Styela clava: one gene and its partner. The protein of the gene in region 2 interacts with the protein of the main gene of each other region in a biochemical or structural test. Links are inferred from orthologs where the notes say so. Each region holds a gene or a part of one and is shown on either strand. Other genes may lie near its edges.

Region 1 (9,233 bases), on a different chromosome or scaffold from region 2:
TCCTGACTTCCCCTTTATTTTCGGCACTGTTACAGGTTTAGGACGTAGACATCGTTCTTCTTATAAAAGAGAGAATAATATATATCGTAAATAAAATGATACAAAAGAACGTTCAAAATTTGATTCAATTCAAAATCCAAATGAGAGAAGGTGATAACCAACAGACCACACAGCTCAAGCCCAGCCTGTTGTCGAATCGGTATTACATTAGTCCTGCTTGTTTGAATTATGCATTATTTGAATTCTGTTGAATTTGAGTCTAATAGTAGTCATAGTATTGTTAGTTTGTTACATCATAATATAATATACCAGAAAATCAAAACCAGGAATTGATTTTCCCATTTTTTGAAAATCAAACAAACAAGAAACCAGGAATTGATTTTCCCATTTTTGAAAATCAAACAAACAAGACCCTCCAACTGATAATCACGTTCTCAATCTATTGCATTGCTTAGTTTTCAAATAGACATTCATCATAAGTTACTGTAGGTTAAGCTTAGGCACACTCAAACAATGAGCAATTACAAGCTTTTGCCAAGGCTAATCAGGCATTCAAATTGTCTATATAACCCAATTGTCTATATAATTCGAACCCACGGGCGGTCTTTATCCATCTGACTGAAGTATCAGTAATACAATTACCAATCCTGTTTGATAAACACACCCTAAAATAAATCAATTCATTACTATCTTTGTATTAAATCTACAGAAATCAATCAGAAACTATCCTTTAAACCTGAATCTTGCTGTCCAAGGGATTTATAACCATTAGCTCTGCATTCAAGCAAAATATTCAGATTCAGACTGTTCTAATGAACTACCATTCAACTCATATAGTAATTTTCTAAGTCGATATCCAAATCACATTTTATGACAAATCTTTTGTAAAGATAAAACCATCTCAACTGTAAAACCGCATTATACCTGCAAAACTTAATCTTTCACGCAAACTGCTTCTTGGCATGGGTACTTCTGGATTTGCTGTAGTACTAGAAGATGAGACTTCATCTGTAGAATATTATTATTATTCTGTTCTCTCACTTCTCTGTATTATTAAATTTATCTAGAAGTCTGCCATGACCATCAATTTGGAACATTGAACTTGGTAAGTAAATAATCTGCTTTCCTAGCTCTACTTGTAACTTGGACGAGGAACCTCTGTTTGAGTCTGACAGACTTAAGACTAGATTTGGTTTCTTAAACTGGGTGTCCTGACCCCTCCCCTGGTGGGTCACAATAAGGCTTCATAGAGATTGCGGTGGACTAGATGAAAGTTGCTATTACACTAATTCATGAAGAGATTCCGTCATATTTGCTATCTCAATAATGACAGTGAGCATTTTGGTGATGATGATTATATATGGGTGCTTGGGTCTAAGATTGTTAGCAATCAATGACTAATTTATCATATTGTATCACTTCATTCTTACCTGCACTTTTCCTTCCACCTCTACTTAATGCGTATTTACTCAATCTTCCAAGTTGTCCTTGCTCACCACAACCTAATGTAAATACCTGTGAAGTATTGTAATATTAGTTTGAAAACCGGTAATATGTCTCAAAAAAAGTAGCATGCATTTTTTCTAATGAATAAGCACACAAGCAAAGAAATAATATTTTTGCTGTCTATGAAAATTGAATGCCTACATAACGTAACATAACTTCACAGTGCAAGATCAAATTAGGCTGCTTAGGCATTGCCTTACTTAATATTGCCCTACTTAATTCATTACACTTAGGGTTTGAACGAGAGAATGTTAAAGTTAATTGATGTACATTGGCAAATACTCAACTCGTGAAACAAACGAACCCACGATTTCCAGATAAATTGAAAAAATTCAATTTGCTTTCAACAGATTTAGTTCTGAAGATACAAAGGTTCAACTGAATGAATATTAGAGAAAATTTGAAATGACAAACCTTTCCCTCGTCAGTGATCATTGCAACATGGTCACATCCAGAGGCAATTGCTACAACACAATTTTGAATTTGGTCTAATTTGATTGGCTCGCCACACTTTTCCCATTCCTTAGCTAAACCCAGTCTGCCGTGATTATCCTGAAAACAATTGAACAAAAATGAAACATCCTAAATCTTGTAATCACAAGAAATTTATAAACTCGATTGAAAAGATTCGACATGATCATTAATTTTTATGAACAATTGGGGCCCAATTAAATTTGCACCGAACAAAAATTAGCGTCTATGTTTTCAGAGTCCTATATGTTTTCAGAATCCTATAACATAGGCTACCTAATACCTGCTTGTTCTGCAGTTGTCTTTGTTTAAAAATAATAAATTAAAATAATTTTTTATACTTACTCGAAAACAGCCCCATAAAAATACATTTCCATCTTCTGATAAAGCAGCACAGTGACTATCACCAGCAGATATATCAATTACTTTTACTCCTTCTAAACTTCCACCGACAATTTTAGGTTCAAATCCTTCTGAATCGTCAGATGTTAATCTTCCTAATGCCCCCTCATCATTGCAACCGAATGAGTAAACCTACGATTATAAATCCATGGGTGTTAATGTCCAAAATTATATAAATAACATGTGAGTGAGAAACCGACAATATTAAAATAGCAGAGGATAGAATTTTTCATTTAACTCAGGCAAGGTAGATTGCAAGGTAGTTCGAAATAACTGATCAACCATGGTGCAAATAACTTTTAACTGGAGTGTCCAACAACCTTCTTCAGTTTCAAGTCATATTCAGACTTTCAGAGTTACGGTATATATATATGATTTTTAGCTATACCTTATGATCGTCAGTCAAACAAACAGTGTGCATTCCTCCGCCAATAATTTTCTTGATCTTTTTTCCATCAAGTTCTCCTCTCACCAAAGCAGGCTTTTTTCGTTCCATTATATCTTCTCCTAGTCCCAGTTGGCCTGTATCTCCTTGTCCCAATGTTAGAGCTACTCCCACAGAAGCCAATTCAAATAAATTGGGAACTGAAAGTCAAAAGTAGAGTGTCAGACTACAAAATATCGTTTTGTTGCTACAATGTACTTTTGAAAAAAAAGTGGAATGAAAAATATGAGCATTTCTACCAACTTATATTTATTACACATATAAAAATTGGTGATCTAATGGATGCAAAATTCAAAGGACCAGTCATTCACTCATGCCTAAAACTTTTTTGTAACCAATATATTTTATCAAAGTTTTATATAGGCTACAGAGGTGTCGATTCAAATACAGCCAGTATCTCATATCAGCATGTGGTCTATGTTATCTGTGATATATATATAGGAATAAATATTATTACCTTCTATCTTCTTCTGTTTTATTCTTGGTTCCTCAGAAACGGATTTACTGAGTTTACGCTTCCCAGAGTTTGAGCCTTTCTCAACTGCAGAAACTGGTAAAAATTGCAAAAAATTTTAATAAAATATTGTTCCTACTGTACCACCATACAGTCATAATAAACTATGGTGTGATTTTTGAGTACTTTCTCTCAAAAATCTGAAAATTGTTATCTGGTTATAGAATAAAATCTGAAAATAGGTTTTTGCCATAGAAAAAATTCAACTTCAGGACTTGGTTAAAAAATACAAATAGCCTCACTTTTCCTTGGTCTCCCTCGAGATTTCTTTGGTTCTTCAGTTTTACCCACATCTTTAGTTGATAATTTGCGAACCATTTTCTTTTCAAAACAATTACAGTTATAGTCTACCGGTAACAATCTAAAGTTTGATAATATCCCGTTATAAGATAAGCTTAATACTGTCCTGGGCAGCGCAGTACGGTACTTTGTCTTTTAGAACTTTAAAAAACAGTTGGGCTATAGTCTAACTTAGCTACAAGTACCGATTCATTCTCACCAGAATTAGAGTTATTACGGTATGTAGTACCGTAGGTTGTAGGCTACGTACAGACGTATAGGTACCACAGTCGCTACCATAAACAGTCAACTGACCATTAAAAACTGCCTTCATAAGTCAGTGATTAACACCTACCGTAGCTTAACTACGACAGTTTAAAATATTCTGCAAGTCGTATTACTGCATTCTGGTATTGCGAATACTATTGGATTTACTTAGTAAAATGCAATCTGGAGACGGGAATGCTGGAACGGTTTATCAGTATTACGCCAGTCTGGATTTCATGGCCTTTTTGAACGAGAAATCGGGCGTGCAATCAGAAATTCCCGCGTGCAAATAAGAATTCCTGGCGTGCAATTATAGCTCACGACGTGCAAAACAACTGCACTCGCGTGCAACTGACTTTGACATCAGATACCTCTCAATACATCCGCGTAAAATTACCGGTATCGGATAAAAAATACGTTGAATCAGAGAAAAAATGGACGTTTGACCTTTGACCCCAAACATTATTTCTACAGTTTGTCGCTAATTTTGAGAGTGTTTGTGCGACTTTGGATACCGGTACTGTTCAGTACATCCGCGTAAAATTATTGGATAAAAAATACGTTGAACCAGAGCAAAATGGACATACTTTGTCATTAATTTTGGTAGTGTTTTTACGTAGAATTAATGGATAAAAAATACGTCAAATTAGAGCAAAATGGACGTTTGATCTTTGACCCCAAACATTATTTTCATACTTTGTCACTAATTTTGGGAGTGTTTGAGCAACTTTAGATACCGGTACTGTTCAGTACATTCGTGTAAAATTATTGTATGAAAAATACGCTGAATCAGAGCCGTACTTGGCCATTGGTGCGGAGGCGATCTTTTCGTCCATAACTATTCTCACGGGATTCCTATTTCCTATCATTCAACACGATATGGACCTTTCCCCGAGCATCGACTTCCTTGTTTACTTCGTGACATTGGCCAATCAGCAAGATGCAAAAAAGGATGTAACAATGAGAGGAATTTTTCGCGGGTCAAAGGTTGGGGAAAGGTCCATACTCCATGGTCTTTTTGCTTCGCAATATTTCGATCAGACCAAATCTTGCAAGCTGGTATTTGTCGACAATTGTGGAGGTATAATATTTTGGCATCTTTATATTACTGGATTATTGATTTTAAAACCATTTAAACCGATTTACATTGGTGAGCAATTGCAAATTTTCGGCGTGCAAAATTGATTTCGCTCGCGAGCATTTTTGCGGAGCGCTAGCGCCCTCGGGCGTGCACCTGCCATGGAATCCAGTCTGGGTATTACGCACCGGTTCTATTGTTGATTATTGTTTGTTCTCGAGCCTCTTATCTTCAGAAGTGCTATAATTACCACAGGCGCTCAAGCGTCGTCCCGCGAATCACGCAGTGCAGCAGTGGTACATTCCCGCAATTAAAATGCACATCTCATACCGGTACACCGATGTCATTTTGACAGATTTTCAGCAGAAAAAATAAGACTTTACGTCCGGACGTCAGAGAAAAAAAATATTTTGTCACATTTGACTTATGATATGATAAGGCGTAAATATATACTACTACGGATAGGTCATTGAGTTGTATAAATAAGGTATATAAATGAATATTTCTGGAGGCTGAATCTAGCACAAAATAAAACAAGAGAGCTATGCTCAAATATATGGACACGTGACGCCACATAAGGGCAAATTTTGATGGCGTTATAGCACACAAAAAAAACGATAAATAAAAGTAAGCCTTCTAGCTAAAAATATAATCTTTACTCTTTAAAAATTTTAAAGCAATTGGTTTAGTAATAAAGGAGAGAAGCGATTTTTTAAAAAACGATACAAAGATGAAGTCCAACAAGAACAAGATTACCAAAAACATGAAAACGATCCATAGGTCAAGTGCAGTTTCAAGTATTTCGTGGCGTCTAGAAGTGCCGCAAAACCATGGCGAGATCATTGTGGGTATATACACCTCAATGGGCGAGATATCCCAACCATAACCGCTATGACCAAACCCACGGCGACTGACTTTTTATCTGCCACAAACCACTGAGGTGTAATGCCACAAACCAACAGCGAGCTGCCGTCGTAACCATTGAGGTGTATCCAAAGTGACTACACTTTGGGTGTATCACCTCAATGGTCGTAACGGCAGCAAATCGAATGCCGCCAATTTTGCTGCCGTAACCACAGCATGTCGGCTGTAATCATTGAGGTGTCTGTAATAGCAAGGCTGCCCCTGATGGTGATAAATATTGGGTAAGTTGGAACGTTTTTCTTATGGATACAGTTTGGGTGAATTTGGGGTTAGGTTTAGATTTAAGTAGATATAATTTGGCATGATAAACTAAAATATTGTACATGACTTAGTAAATACACCGGTAATAGCGCCACAACACCATGGCAGGAGACAGCGGGGTACGCTCGTGGCAAGAGCTGCCATGAAGTGGTAAGAACTGCGCCTCCATAGGTCACCCACATGTCCAAAAAACAATATTTTTAATATAAGGGATTCATTACGGGTTAAGGAATCGATGTTTTTTTCTGAGCATCGACTCACTCGTCTACTTCTTTATCATTAACTAATCAGCAAAATGTCAATTGTGGCGTGCCAATTCAAATTACCGGCCACACAGAAAAGCTTTTCCCACCCAAACAGGCCTTCGGCGCTGGAGCTTGGGAGTAAACGTTGGATTGCTTTCGTGGTTTTGTTGGTTATTTGTCAATTTTTGATTGCGTTACCTAAATTCAGGTATAGATGTCTTTTTGTCCCCCGACGTAGCCTTGCTACAAATTTTAAAATTTTTAAACCGCATATAAGATACGCTCAGTAGGCCTACATAGACTTACACAATGTACAATAAAACAAAATGGTGATGAGAGACGGGGAAAACAATACTGATTATCTCAGAAGGAGTCACAAAATGAAACAAATATATAAACGAGAATATCGGTCGGAGACCGAAGCCCATCGATCGAATGTTAGGGGATCTCCAAAACAGAAACTGCGGTTTTGCATCATTCGCTCTTACTCCATAGTGACACCGTGTGTCACATCACTAATTAATTGATAATTCGCTAATTATGCAACATAATTCATCCAAAATAGGCTTCTAGTCCGAGATATGATGAATGCACATGCAAAATTTAGAGCAGATTCAACCTCGCTTTCGCGAGATATCGCGTAACATACGAAAGTGTCTAACAGACAAACAGTATAGTTCTGGAACAATGCTTGAATGCTTTACATTGCTTTGGTAATTGTTGACAAACAGCATCATGAAATTATGGGATGGCGATATCAATTTTCGGGAACTATTTCACTTTCTTTATTTTGCTAAGAGGTCGTACAATTCATGGAGAATCGCCCACAAATGTTTATTTAAACAACTAAATTGAAGAAACAAGACATGCATTTAGCACACACACTGCTTAGAGTTTAAAATATTATATTTTATCTATTTTTCAATTTTGTAGAATATTTGCGTAATTTATTGAAAATCAAGAAATGGGTCTCGTATCTTGCATTCACTGGGACAGGTATTGAAGGCATTAGATAAAAATACATGCTGTAATACGAATGCGCCACAGAAAATGGCTTGCTTCACATGCAGGGGCGTGTCAAACTTTTCTGCTACGCGGGGCGAGTTTCTCCCCTTATACCTAACTTCAAAAATAATAAGAGGGATAAACAAATTATAGATACAGTGGTATACATGAGAATGAATCAATCAAAGGTCAAGTAAGAGTTGAATGTTTGTATTATCATTATTTTAATCATCAAACTAAGCAACAACCTCGCCCCATAACGTTCTGGTCACCACCTAGTCACTCCCCTGGTTATATATTACACGCAACTTTAGGAGTTGCTCTTACCCAATCCGCTATTTTAAAGCTTTTTTGATGACAGTTTAAAGTCTTAACTTGCAGAACAGACCAAGTTGTATTCAATACAAAAAGTCGGACTTCTGATTTATACAAAGCATTGGAAAATAGAATGCATTTGTCGCTTGAAAAAAATATTTTCAATCGCTCATGAAATTGGTGTAAATCGTTGTAAAATCTCCTGCGGTTATTTTATTGCAATTCTTGTATGTCGAATGAGACAAGTATTTGCAGTAGGATATGGATTGGATTTTGTACGAAATAAAAGTAATTCTGATTCTACAGGGGAGAAGCACACAGAGGAGAATCCTACAAAATGGCGTACTAGTCTTCGACCCTGTCTCCTTCTTGAAGTTCATGCGTGAAAGCAAAGTATGATCTAGAAAATGAAAATCATGTTGATGATGAATCTTGCTATGCGTTTAATTTTTAAGATTGCAAACAGAGCTTGGCATTTTAAATCGAATAGTGAATTTTTGGAATCGGTCCAGACGAAAATTTTGGATCGCCGCCATGTTTTTTTTTCGTTCACCAAAGATCGAGGTCCGTCTATTTTTTCGTTGAGGCATATTTGTTTTACATACGAGTGATTTATTTATGACACAGGTTTCTTATTCTGTGTGAACACACAACCAACTGTACTCTAAGTGAATGATTGTATGTTTTTAGTAATTCCATCACCAATATTTCAAGTATTCGAGATTCAATTCTGAAACCACTAGGTATTTGGAAATATACTGGAAGAATCAATTGAATCTGTGCACATTTGAGTCTCTAGTTGCAAAATCTTCATCATTATCTAGAAAAGAACTAGTACGACAATCTTTATCAATGTCCCCATCTTAACAAGACTATACAATAGATCTCAATCCAGCGATATGAATATATTTAGGCATCTTCTATCAATAAAAAATTTTTTTTTTGCAGGTTGTGTGGACAAGTATAGAAGGCAAAATATTTATGCTCGAACTGGAAATGGGAGCTTTTTCGGTACTTGGAGAACTTATGGCGCATTTCGTTGTAACGTTGATTAATGTTGTAAACGAAAAAGTCATGAATGAAAGGGTTACAAGTGAAATGGTAGACCTGTAGGTACAGAAAGCATTGTTCAATTATATGGACACGAAAGTGAAACATTTCAACAACAGTATACAATGTCAGATCTATGGTATACAAAGGACAAATAGTATAAGAGGGATTGTCGCCTGGTTGGCATTTTGGTTACGACGTGTGTACGCGAGTACAAATTATTTGAAGCCATCCAAGTCATAGTTGTGTGCATTTAATATAAAATGTTAAACCTCTTAGATCATAGCATTTCAATATTTCTATTGCATGTCTGTGACAAGTCACTTTTATTTTATTCCATTTCCACGAACAATCCTCTACTGTCCAGTGTCGAAAAAAATTTCTTTCTATCGAGATCGAAATAGTGTTCAAATGGCGCTGTAATTCATCAAACGGGCAGGGCAGCATTTAGAGAACAAGAGAGCTATGCTC
Region 2 (8,852 bases):
CAAATAAACTCCATAACAGGAAGAACAAATTGGAAGTGTGTTATGTTGACTAATTAATCTGGCTTAGTGGGTGTGTCAAAGATCACAATTTGATGAACTGTGATTCAAAATATTTCATAATATTTAATAACTTGTCACTATTAGTTGGCTCTTAACTCTTCAAACCAAAACTTTTTCCTAACTATCTTACGCTTGGCGCGGCGGTGTGGCTCAACGGGCTAAGCGTTAGGAATACGCTCGCCACCGCACCTCTAATTACTCTGCGTGGGTTCGCAGGTTCGAATCCCATGCAGGGGTGGTTATGTGCGAGAGGATTGCTGGACTCCTCGCCGTCGTTGGGTGGTTCACGTAACCGCTGGTCGGTTACGGCTTCCTCCACCACCAAGTCCATGCTTCCGAAAACAAACAATACAGTAAAAAACTAATCCCATACCCGACTTGGAATGGTAACCGGACGAGAGGCCGTGGTTCGCCATATGGATAAGCCGTCTTATCGGCTTTCCTCTCCCCCGGGATAAATATGTAAATCCTATCCTATCCTAAGTGTCCAAACTTTCAAATTAACATACAGCTGCCAATTTTTCACTTTGGCGCACAGTAAAATAGTTTATTTCTAGGTCCTTCACTTAAGACAGGGGTCACCAAACTTTTTTGACCGCGGGCCGGGTTTGACTCAAACTGTGTTGAAACGGGCCGGACAAATATTGTTGTCAATGCAATACAATAAATTCACAAATGTTTGGAAATCCATTCAATTTATTCAACAATAAATATAATCTTCATTTCTAAAGACAGAATATATAAGTATATATTCTGTATATATAATATAATAAATATATAAGTATATATATTTTGATTTTATTTCCCCGCAAAAAAATCATACACAAAACATAAACAATGAACACACAGAAGACTGGGAAAATTGGGGAAACTGGAAAAACCTTTATAAAGGTTTAATATATCGAGAAAATCCTAGTAAAAGGAAAAATATACAAGATTTTTATATCTATTCAACTATCCTGAGTTTAGCTGTTGGCAAAACGTTGCTGTCATGAATTAGGAATGTTAAAAAATCCAATTTTTCGCGCCAAAAATATGTAGGCATCACGTCTGCTATGTACCGTTACGCCGCGTTGGAATACCGCTCATATTAATGACTACGGACTGCCTGCGGTACCTTGGAAATTTTGACATAATTTAGATAAAATAAACAACTATTATCTGGTATTTGATTTGTTTCATTAGCGCATAAATTTCAAGTTATACGTAGTGCAAATTTTGATATTGTCTATGGACACCAATAAAATTTATGTGAACGTGTGTATTTCCTTCCTATCTTGATACTTACCAATTTTTATGAAGTTTGTTCTATCAGAACATCTTTAATTATTACCCACAATGAACCACTGTCAAACTAACATGCACAACTCCAGTGTTTATTTGCGACGATAAAATTCTGAAATAGTCTCATTGTTCCATAGATGTGACGCAGATCGAAAGGTTAGAGATTGATATGTGTTCTTTTTTCATATTTATTATAGTTATTATCTAAAAAGTAATACTATCCTTATGGAAAAAATTGGCATGTCGGGCGGTACTGAAATTCCGATATCTTCGTTGTTTCCAGACCGTTTTTTATGAACTTGTCATCCTATTTTCACTCAGATCTATCCACTGGCGCAGTTTTTATTTAAATCGGATGAACTTTAATTTGTTTGTAACATACCCACATGAATATCCGCATTTAGGCAGTACAAAAGTTAGTGTGACTTGTGAAATTGCAGAAGTATGCGAGGGATCACAGTACTGTTAGCGCAACATGCACATTCGACGTTCATTTCAGCACAAGAAACGTAAACAGTTTCGTCGAAAGCACGCGCCACAAGTATACGAGTGCATCTTTCGCGAAAAATGTTTTTCACCGGTAGATAATTTTAGTCTATTTTGTCACAGCTATTTCTAGACTAATTTTTCAGTACTACTATTAAAACTACAACTCTTAAGGAGGCAAATGATGACTGACTTATTTGCATCTCGCTGATTGGCCCCTATTTTCAAATAAATAAGGAAGACAATGCTCGGGAAAATTTCCCTTGGAAAAAAATTTCGCCATTTTTGCGTGTTATTGCGGGCCGTAGTTTGGTGACCCCTGACTTAAGAGATAGTCAAACACAGATAGAATTTAAAGAGTTATTAGAAAATGTATTGTAGCTCACGTAAACTACATGAAAGCCGACTATATTATTAAACGGTTCGGAGTTCAAGAATACTTTGTTATTAAAGTGCCAAAGGTCTATAATGTGAGGAACAACTATTTTTAGAGGTTAAGATACAATTGTAATTCAAATTAAAGTGATGACACTTAATGCCCAATTTAACAAACAAATTTTAAATTCATTTGCAAACACCTGGTTCCCACTACATAGGAGTAAAGTGGTGGTGATGTATATATTGCAATTTAATCAAGAGACTTAATCAAGAGCTAGTCATTTTCTGACTTTCCACTATCTTGCATATCATTCATTGAACATCTCATAGGGGAACAAATTTATGAAAATTTCTAAAATATTGAGAAAATTTCTTCAGTGAAATATAGCTAAAGTAAAATGACTCTGAAGTAAATTCATGAATTTACTTACGTTCCGATGCTGCAGAAGATTGTGCAGACACAGATTGAGACGGAGCAGCTGGTGCACTAAGAATAGAGGGCCGAAGAAAATTTCTTTTCTGACTAGCTTCTTGTGCCCCCTCTGAATACAGATGAAAATTAATTAATTTCGAAATAAAGCATTAATGATTCTAAAACTACACTTCATAAATCCAGGTAGATAGATAGGACATACCGGTATGTGAAATATTTATGTAGCATGTAAAGCCAATGATTTAAAGATGTATTTTAATATAACTTTTTTGATAAGCAGAATTACAGATATATTTATTAAAGCTTGAAAGCTTATTTTGCAAACCTTCTTTCGGTGCAGGTTTTGCTTGTCCATGAATCAAGGTTGGAGGATTTAATCGAAAACTGCCGCGTTTCTCTTCAGGCTCGGAATCATCAGGACTATCCCTAACATCATCCTCCTCATCTCGTTGACGTTTCATTACTCTATTTGATTCTTTTCCAGAGCAGAAGCCTCCACCATTTTCACCTAAAATATAAAGTAATACAAAATATTTTATGGGAATAACCCCGAACCATACTTTAAAAAAAATTTGGTTGTGAATAAGTTTGGAAACACTAAAACTTTGCAGCTTGAACTATCATGAATTCATTTTTTCATTAAATTAAATGTCTAGAAATCTCTTGTCTGGTTGAGAGTCTAGTCTATGCTGGGTATGGTATGAGAATAGTTAACCTGTTGTTTGTTTCAGACGCATGGACCCGATAGTGGAAGAAGCCGTAACTAACCAGTGGTTATATTATTCACCAGTAATCATCTCACATATAAATATCTCATATAGGATTCCAACTATGAAACCAATATAGGGTAATCAGAAGTGCGGTGCGCCGGTGGCATGTGCGTTTGATACCGTTATATTGCATCTTACGAACCAATTTCATAAGCCAAGATTAGGAGGTAAAATGACTTGATGATTTGAAAATGAGTTTTGACCTTTGATTAAAAATAGTAGGCCTATGGATAAAAGGCATTTAGTATTTATTATACATCAGATAAAATTGTGGGAATTTCCAATCTGAATATTTTATTTCGTTCATCACCACTAATATGCATACCGGTATTTCAAATTAATAAATGTCCTAAAATAATAACTGAATTTCCAAAAAAATTCCAAAGCCTAATTTACTGACCTGGAGTGCTTCCACTATTTGGAATTCCACTACTTGGATCAACATTGGAAGAATCGGCCATACTATTTACTCTAAAATTACAATGACATGAAAAAAGAAAACAGTATTTAGACCACGAATACATATAGTATGACTGGACTAGGTTAATGCGATTACTATAATCACTATATCAGAGCCCAGAGGACTATTAGATGAGCCAAGTTTCCTGAAAGCCTGAAGCACACTTGGAAAATGTAAACTACGGTATATCATACCATCATGAATGGATGGAATATTTTAACAATTATAAACCAATGGCCGACCAGCTTGTTGCAAATTTTGGTCCTAAGATTGGTCAAGAAACAGCCAACAAAATAAAATTGGATCAAAAAAATTATTCCAAATTTGTTTATTTCGAAAAAATACACGATTGCTGGATTGAGACATGAACAAGGTAATGACCATATGACATTTTCTCAATTTTGTGTCAATTGTAATAGTGTCAAACAAAGATTTTTTAAACTTGCAGACTTTATGCAGTATGAATACTTTGATTATAATTACTAAATTATGTAATCACTTCAATTGACATTGGCAATTTAGCATATAGACCAGGGGTGTGGGCAAGGTTTTCAGACTAGGGACTAGAAAAATTGGCCCCCCAGACCTGCGGGCCATATAAGTGTGACATAAAGTTATAATTTATGAACAGGAATTCATTTGAAGTGTTTTGAAAGAGCACAAGTGGAAAACAATAAGCCTCGTGCAAAACTAAATTAAATCGCAATCTCAACAAATTCCTTGAGCTTTTTTCTAGCTAAAACATTAAAATTTGGTTTTAGTTTGGTTGTGGCAATTGTCAAAACAGATTTGAGAGGGGTATAATTGTATAAATTCACAAGACTGAAGGTCTGTTCACAAATGTACTTGGAGCCAAATATCACCAATATTCTCTGGGCCATTTTTTGAATATTTCAAAACATGTATCTCTCAAGCCATTAAGCTTCAAGGATTTGAATTTGTATCTTAAAACATAGTCACATAGAATATCGATCAATTCTAATTGTTGTCTTTGTGTGTGATGTTGCAGTGACTTGTTAAAAATGAGATAAAACAATTTGAAACAATACTTGAAGCTTTTCAAAACTTCCAAATGTCTGGCAGAATTCGTTATGGAGATCATTCAGTAATTTGCTTTTTTTCACAGCATGCTGGGGTGCCTCATAGTCACTAGCGTGGGGAAATGAGCAAAACAACTGTTAAATAGTTGTTTGGGAGAATAAAGTAAATTTTGATTTGAAAGCCTTATTATTGGTGTACAATTCATGACCAGAAATTTATGGCAACATCAGGTGGGCCAGGTTGAATCACCAACGGGCCGGATTTGGCCCGTAGGCCGTAGTTTGCACATACTGACATAGCACGAGCACGTCAAAACCATGTCAATCAACAACTAAACAGGGCCACACTCCCCGCAGACGATATAAGTTATACAAGACAAAAGTTTGTGTGGGACTTTGATAGTGTTCTGCTTGCACCTATTACTGTAATTAATTTAAATTAATATCGAGACAAGCATAGTGCAATGTGACGCATCTGCTGTCATGCCAGACGCAGAGTGTTTGTTATATTCAACCAAATGTCGAAACATCTTGGAATCGGAGAATTACGGTACCTCCTACTGTATATTTTGATATTTGATTCCGATAATATTACTACTGTATACCGTATGCATGGCAGCATGGACCAAAGTTACCCCAGCCCACACTCGCTCAGCCCACACTCAGCCTGACGTCAAGGGGTTAACCAACTATTTTACTGACTTTATAAACGTAATTACATAAAAACTTGGTGACTCTGACAATATAGAGACCATATCTGATATACACAACGCAAATACAATACCAAGCACGGCCCAGTTACCCCTCGCATGGCCTGACAAAAACGAGTGTGGGCCAGCGTCACACGAGTGTGGGCTAGCGTCACACGAGTGTGGGCTGGCATCCTACGAGTGTGGGCTAGCGTCACACGAGTGTGGGCTGACGTTCTGACAATGTTTCACCGTAAGTTAAGGCATCCTAAACGTTCACAGATTACTAAATTACATATATCCATGTTTAACTCAGCGCCAGAACCTCTCAAAGTCCGGCAAATGATGGCACAAAATAGCTACAATTGCCGGGAAAATAAATCGAAATCAGCTGAACAATGATATCTCCAATCACTGTTGCCAGATATATAGGTGGACAAGCATGAATTCACAGGAAGGTTTCACAACAAAAAAAAATTATATCTAAGCGAAATACCAAACCTATTCATTTCCATCAATAAGAATGAGATATGAACAAATCGAATCTGATTTGCACAAATACATCTTTTAAAATAAAGATTGAACAAGCAAATTCAAAAGCAAATTAAGTAACATTTACCCAAAGGGTTACATTGTCTCGATGGCTTTGAAGTCTGATTTCGGCACTTCTAATACTTTGTACGCCATGAAATCGACTTATTACATTATATATCCAATTATCCAACAAATAACGAAAAATTTAAAAATTCTACCGGGGGGAAAGACTTTAAAATAAAAAAAGTATGTACCTATGTATAAAGATAATTCTATTTCCCGACAATGGTATTTTATGACAAAATGCAACAGAGAATTGAAACTTTTCTATTAATTTGTACATCACGACATTTGTTTAATATATTATATAGTGAATTATCTTACAAATACTAAAAAATAAAAAAAATTTACCTGGGGGAAAGACTTTAAAATAAAACCGGAATCTATCTATGTCTAACGATAATCATATTTCCCGATAATTGTATTTTATGACAAAATGTAACAAGGAATTGAAACTTTTCTATTTGTTTGTACATCACCAAATTTGCTTATTATATTATATAATGAATTATCTTACAAATATCAAATATTGAAAAAATTCTACCGGGGGGAAAGACTTTAAAATAAAACCGGAATCTACCTATGTCTAACGATAATCATATTTCCCGATAATGGTATTTTATGACAAAATGCAACAAGGAATTGAAACTTTTCTATTTGTTTGTACATCACGAAATTTGCTTACTATATTATATAGTGAATTATCTTTCACATATTAAAAAATAAAAAAATTCTACCGGGGGGAAAGACTTTAAAATAAAACCGGAATCTATCTATGTCTAACGATAATCATATTTCCCGATAATTGTATTTTATGACAAAATGTAACAAGGAATTGAAACTTTTCTATTTGTTTGTACATCACCAAATTTGCTTATTATATTATATAATGAATTATCTTACAAATATCAAATATTGAAAAAATTCTACCGGGGGGAAAGACTTTAAAATAAAACCGGAATCTACCTATGTCTAACGATAATCACAATTCCCGATAATGGTATTTTATGACAAAATGCAACAAGGAATTGAAACTTTTCTATCACTTTGTACATCACGAAATTTGCCTATTATATAAAATAGTGAATCATCTTATAAATACTGAAAAATAAAAAAATTTTACCGGGGGGAAAGACTTTCAAATAAAACCGAAATCTACTTATGTCCAACGATAATTCTATTTCCCGACAATGGTATTTTATTACAAAATGCAACAAGGAATTGAATCTTTTCTATCAATTTGTACATCACGAAATTTCCCTATTATATGAAATAGTAACTCATCTTATAAATACTGAAAAATAAAAAAAATTCTACCGGGGGGAAAGACTTTAAAATAAAACCGGAATCTACCTATGTCTAACGATAATCATAATTCCCGATAATGGTATTTTATGACAAAATGCAACAAGGAATTGAAACTTTTCTATCAATTTGTACATCACGAAATTTGCCTATTATATAGAATAGTGACTCATCTTATAAAAACTGAAAAACGAAAAAATTCTACCGAGGGGAAAGACTTTAAAATAAAACCGGAATCTACCTATGTCTAACGATAATCATATTTCCCGATAATGGTATTTTATGACAAAATGCAACAAGGAATTGAAACTTTTCTATTTGTTTGTACATCACGAAATTTTCTTATTATATTATATAATGAATTATCTTACAAATATCAAATATTGAAAAAATTCTACTGGGGGGAAAGACTTTCAAATAAAACCGGAATCTACCTATGTCTAACGATAATCATATTTCCCGATAATGGTATTTTATGACAAAATGCAACAAGGAATTGAAACTTTTCTATTTGTTTGTACATCACGAAATTTGCTTAGTATATTATATAGTGAATTATCTTTCACATATTGGAAAATAAAAAAATTCTACCGGGGGGAAAGACTTTAAAATAAAACCGGAATCTATCTATGTCTAACGATAATCATATTTCCCGATAATTGTATTTTATGACAAAATGTAACAAGGAATTGAAACTTTTCTATTTGTTTGTACATCACCAAATTTGCTTATTATATTATATAATGAATTATCTTACAAATATCAAATATTGAAAAAATTCTACCGGGGGGAAAGACTTTAAAATAAAACCGGAATCTACCTATGTCTAACGATAATCACAATTCCCGATAATGGTATTTTATGACAAAATGCAACAAGGAATTGAAACTTTTCTATCAATTTGTACATCACGAAATTTGCCTATTATATAAAATAGTGAATCATCTTATAAATACTGAAAAATAAAAAAATTTTACCGGGGGGAAAGACTTTCAAATAAAACCGAAATCTACTTATGTCCAACGATAATTCTATTTCCCGACAATGGTATTTTATTACAAAATGCAACAAGGAATTGAATCTTTTCTATCAATTTGTACATCACGAAATTTCCCTATTATATGAAATAGTAACTCATCTTATAAATACTGAAAAATAAAAAAATTTTACCGGGGGGAAAGACTTTAAAATAAAACCGGAATCTACCTATGTCTAACGATAATCATAATTCCCGATAATGGTATTTTATGACAAAATGCAACAAGGAATTGAAACTTTTCTATCAATTTGTACATCACGAAATTTGCCTATTATATAGAATAGTGACTCATCTTATAAATACTGAAAAACGAA

Evidence for each region.
Region 1: the proteins of ran-binding protein 3-like (region 2) and regulator of chromosome condensation-like form a complex in vitro, tested with the Homo sapiens proteins (2 studies listed by BioGRID). The link is inferred for Styela clava from reciprocal best matches to the Homo sapiens genes RANBP3 and RCC1.

Annotation. Positions count from the first base shown.
Region 1 is NC_135257.1:1,500,973-1,510,205, reverse strand, and holds the start of regulator of chromosome condensation-like, read right to left. Parts: upstream 3,700-9,233; 5' UTR 3,657-3,699; coding exon 3,581-3,656; intron 3,375-3,580; coding exon 3,282-3,374; intron 2,965-3,281; coding exon 2,768-2,964; intron 2,512-2,767; coding exon 2,323-2,511; intron 2,059-2,322; coding exon 1,921-2,058; intron 1,516-1,920; coding exon 1,431-1,515; intron 60-1,430; coding exon 1-59. UniProt on the Homo sapiens protein: Guanine-nucleotide releasing factor that promotes the exchange of Ran-bound GDP by GTP, and thereby plays an important role in RAN-mediated functions in nuclear import and mitosis.
Region 2 is NC_135260.1:20,226,067-20,234,918, reverse strand, and holds the start of ran-binding protein 3-like, read right to left. Parts: upstream 3,923-8,852; 5' UTR 3,873-3,922; coding exon 3,812-3,872; intron 3,150-3,811; coding exon 2,967-3,149; intron 2,751-2,966; coding exon 2,640-2,750; intron 1-2,639. UniProt on the Homo sapiens protein: Acts as a cofactor for XPO1/CRM1-mediated nuclear export, perhaps as export complex scaffolding protein. Bound to XPO1/CRM1, stabilizes the XPO1/CRM1-cargo interaction. In the absence of Ran-bound GTP prevents binding of XPO1/CRM1 to the nuclear pore complex.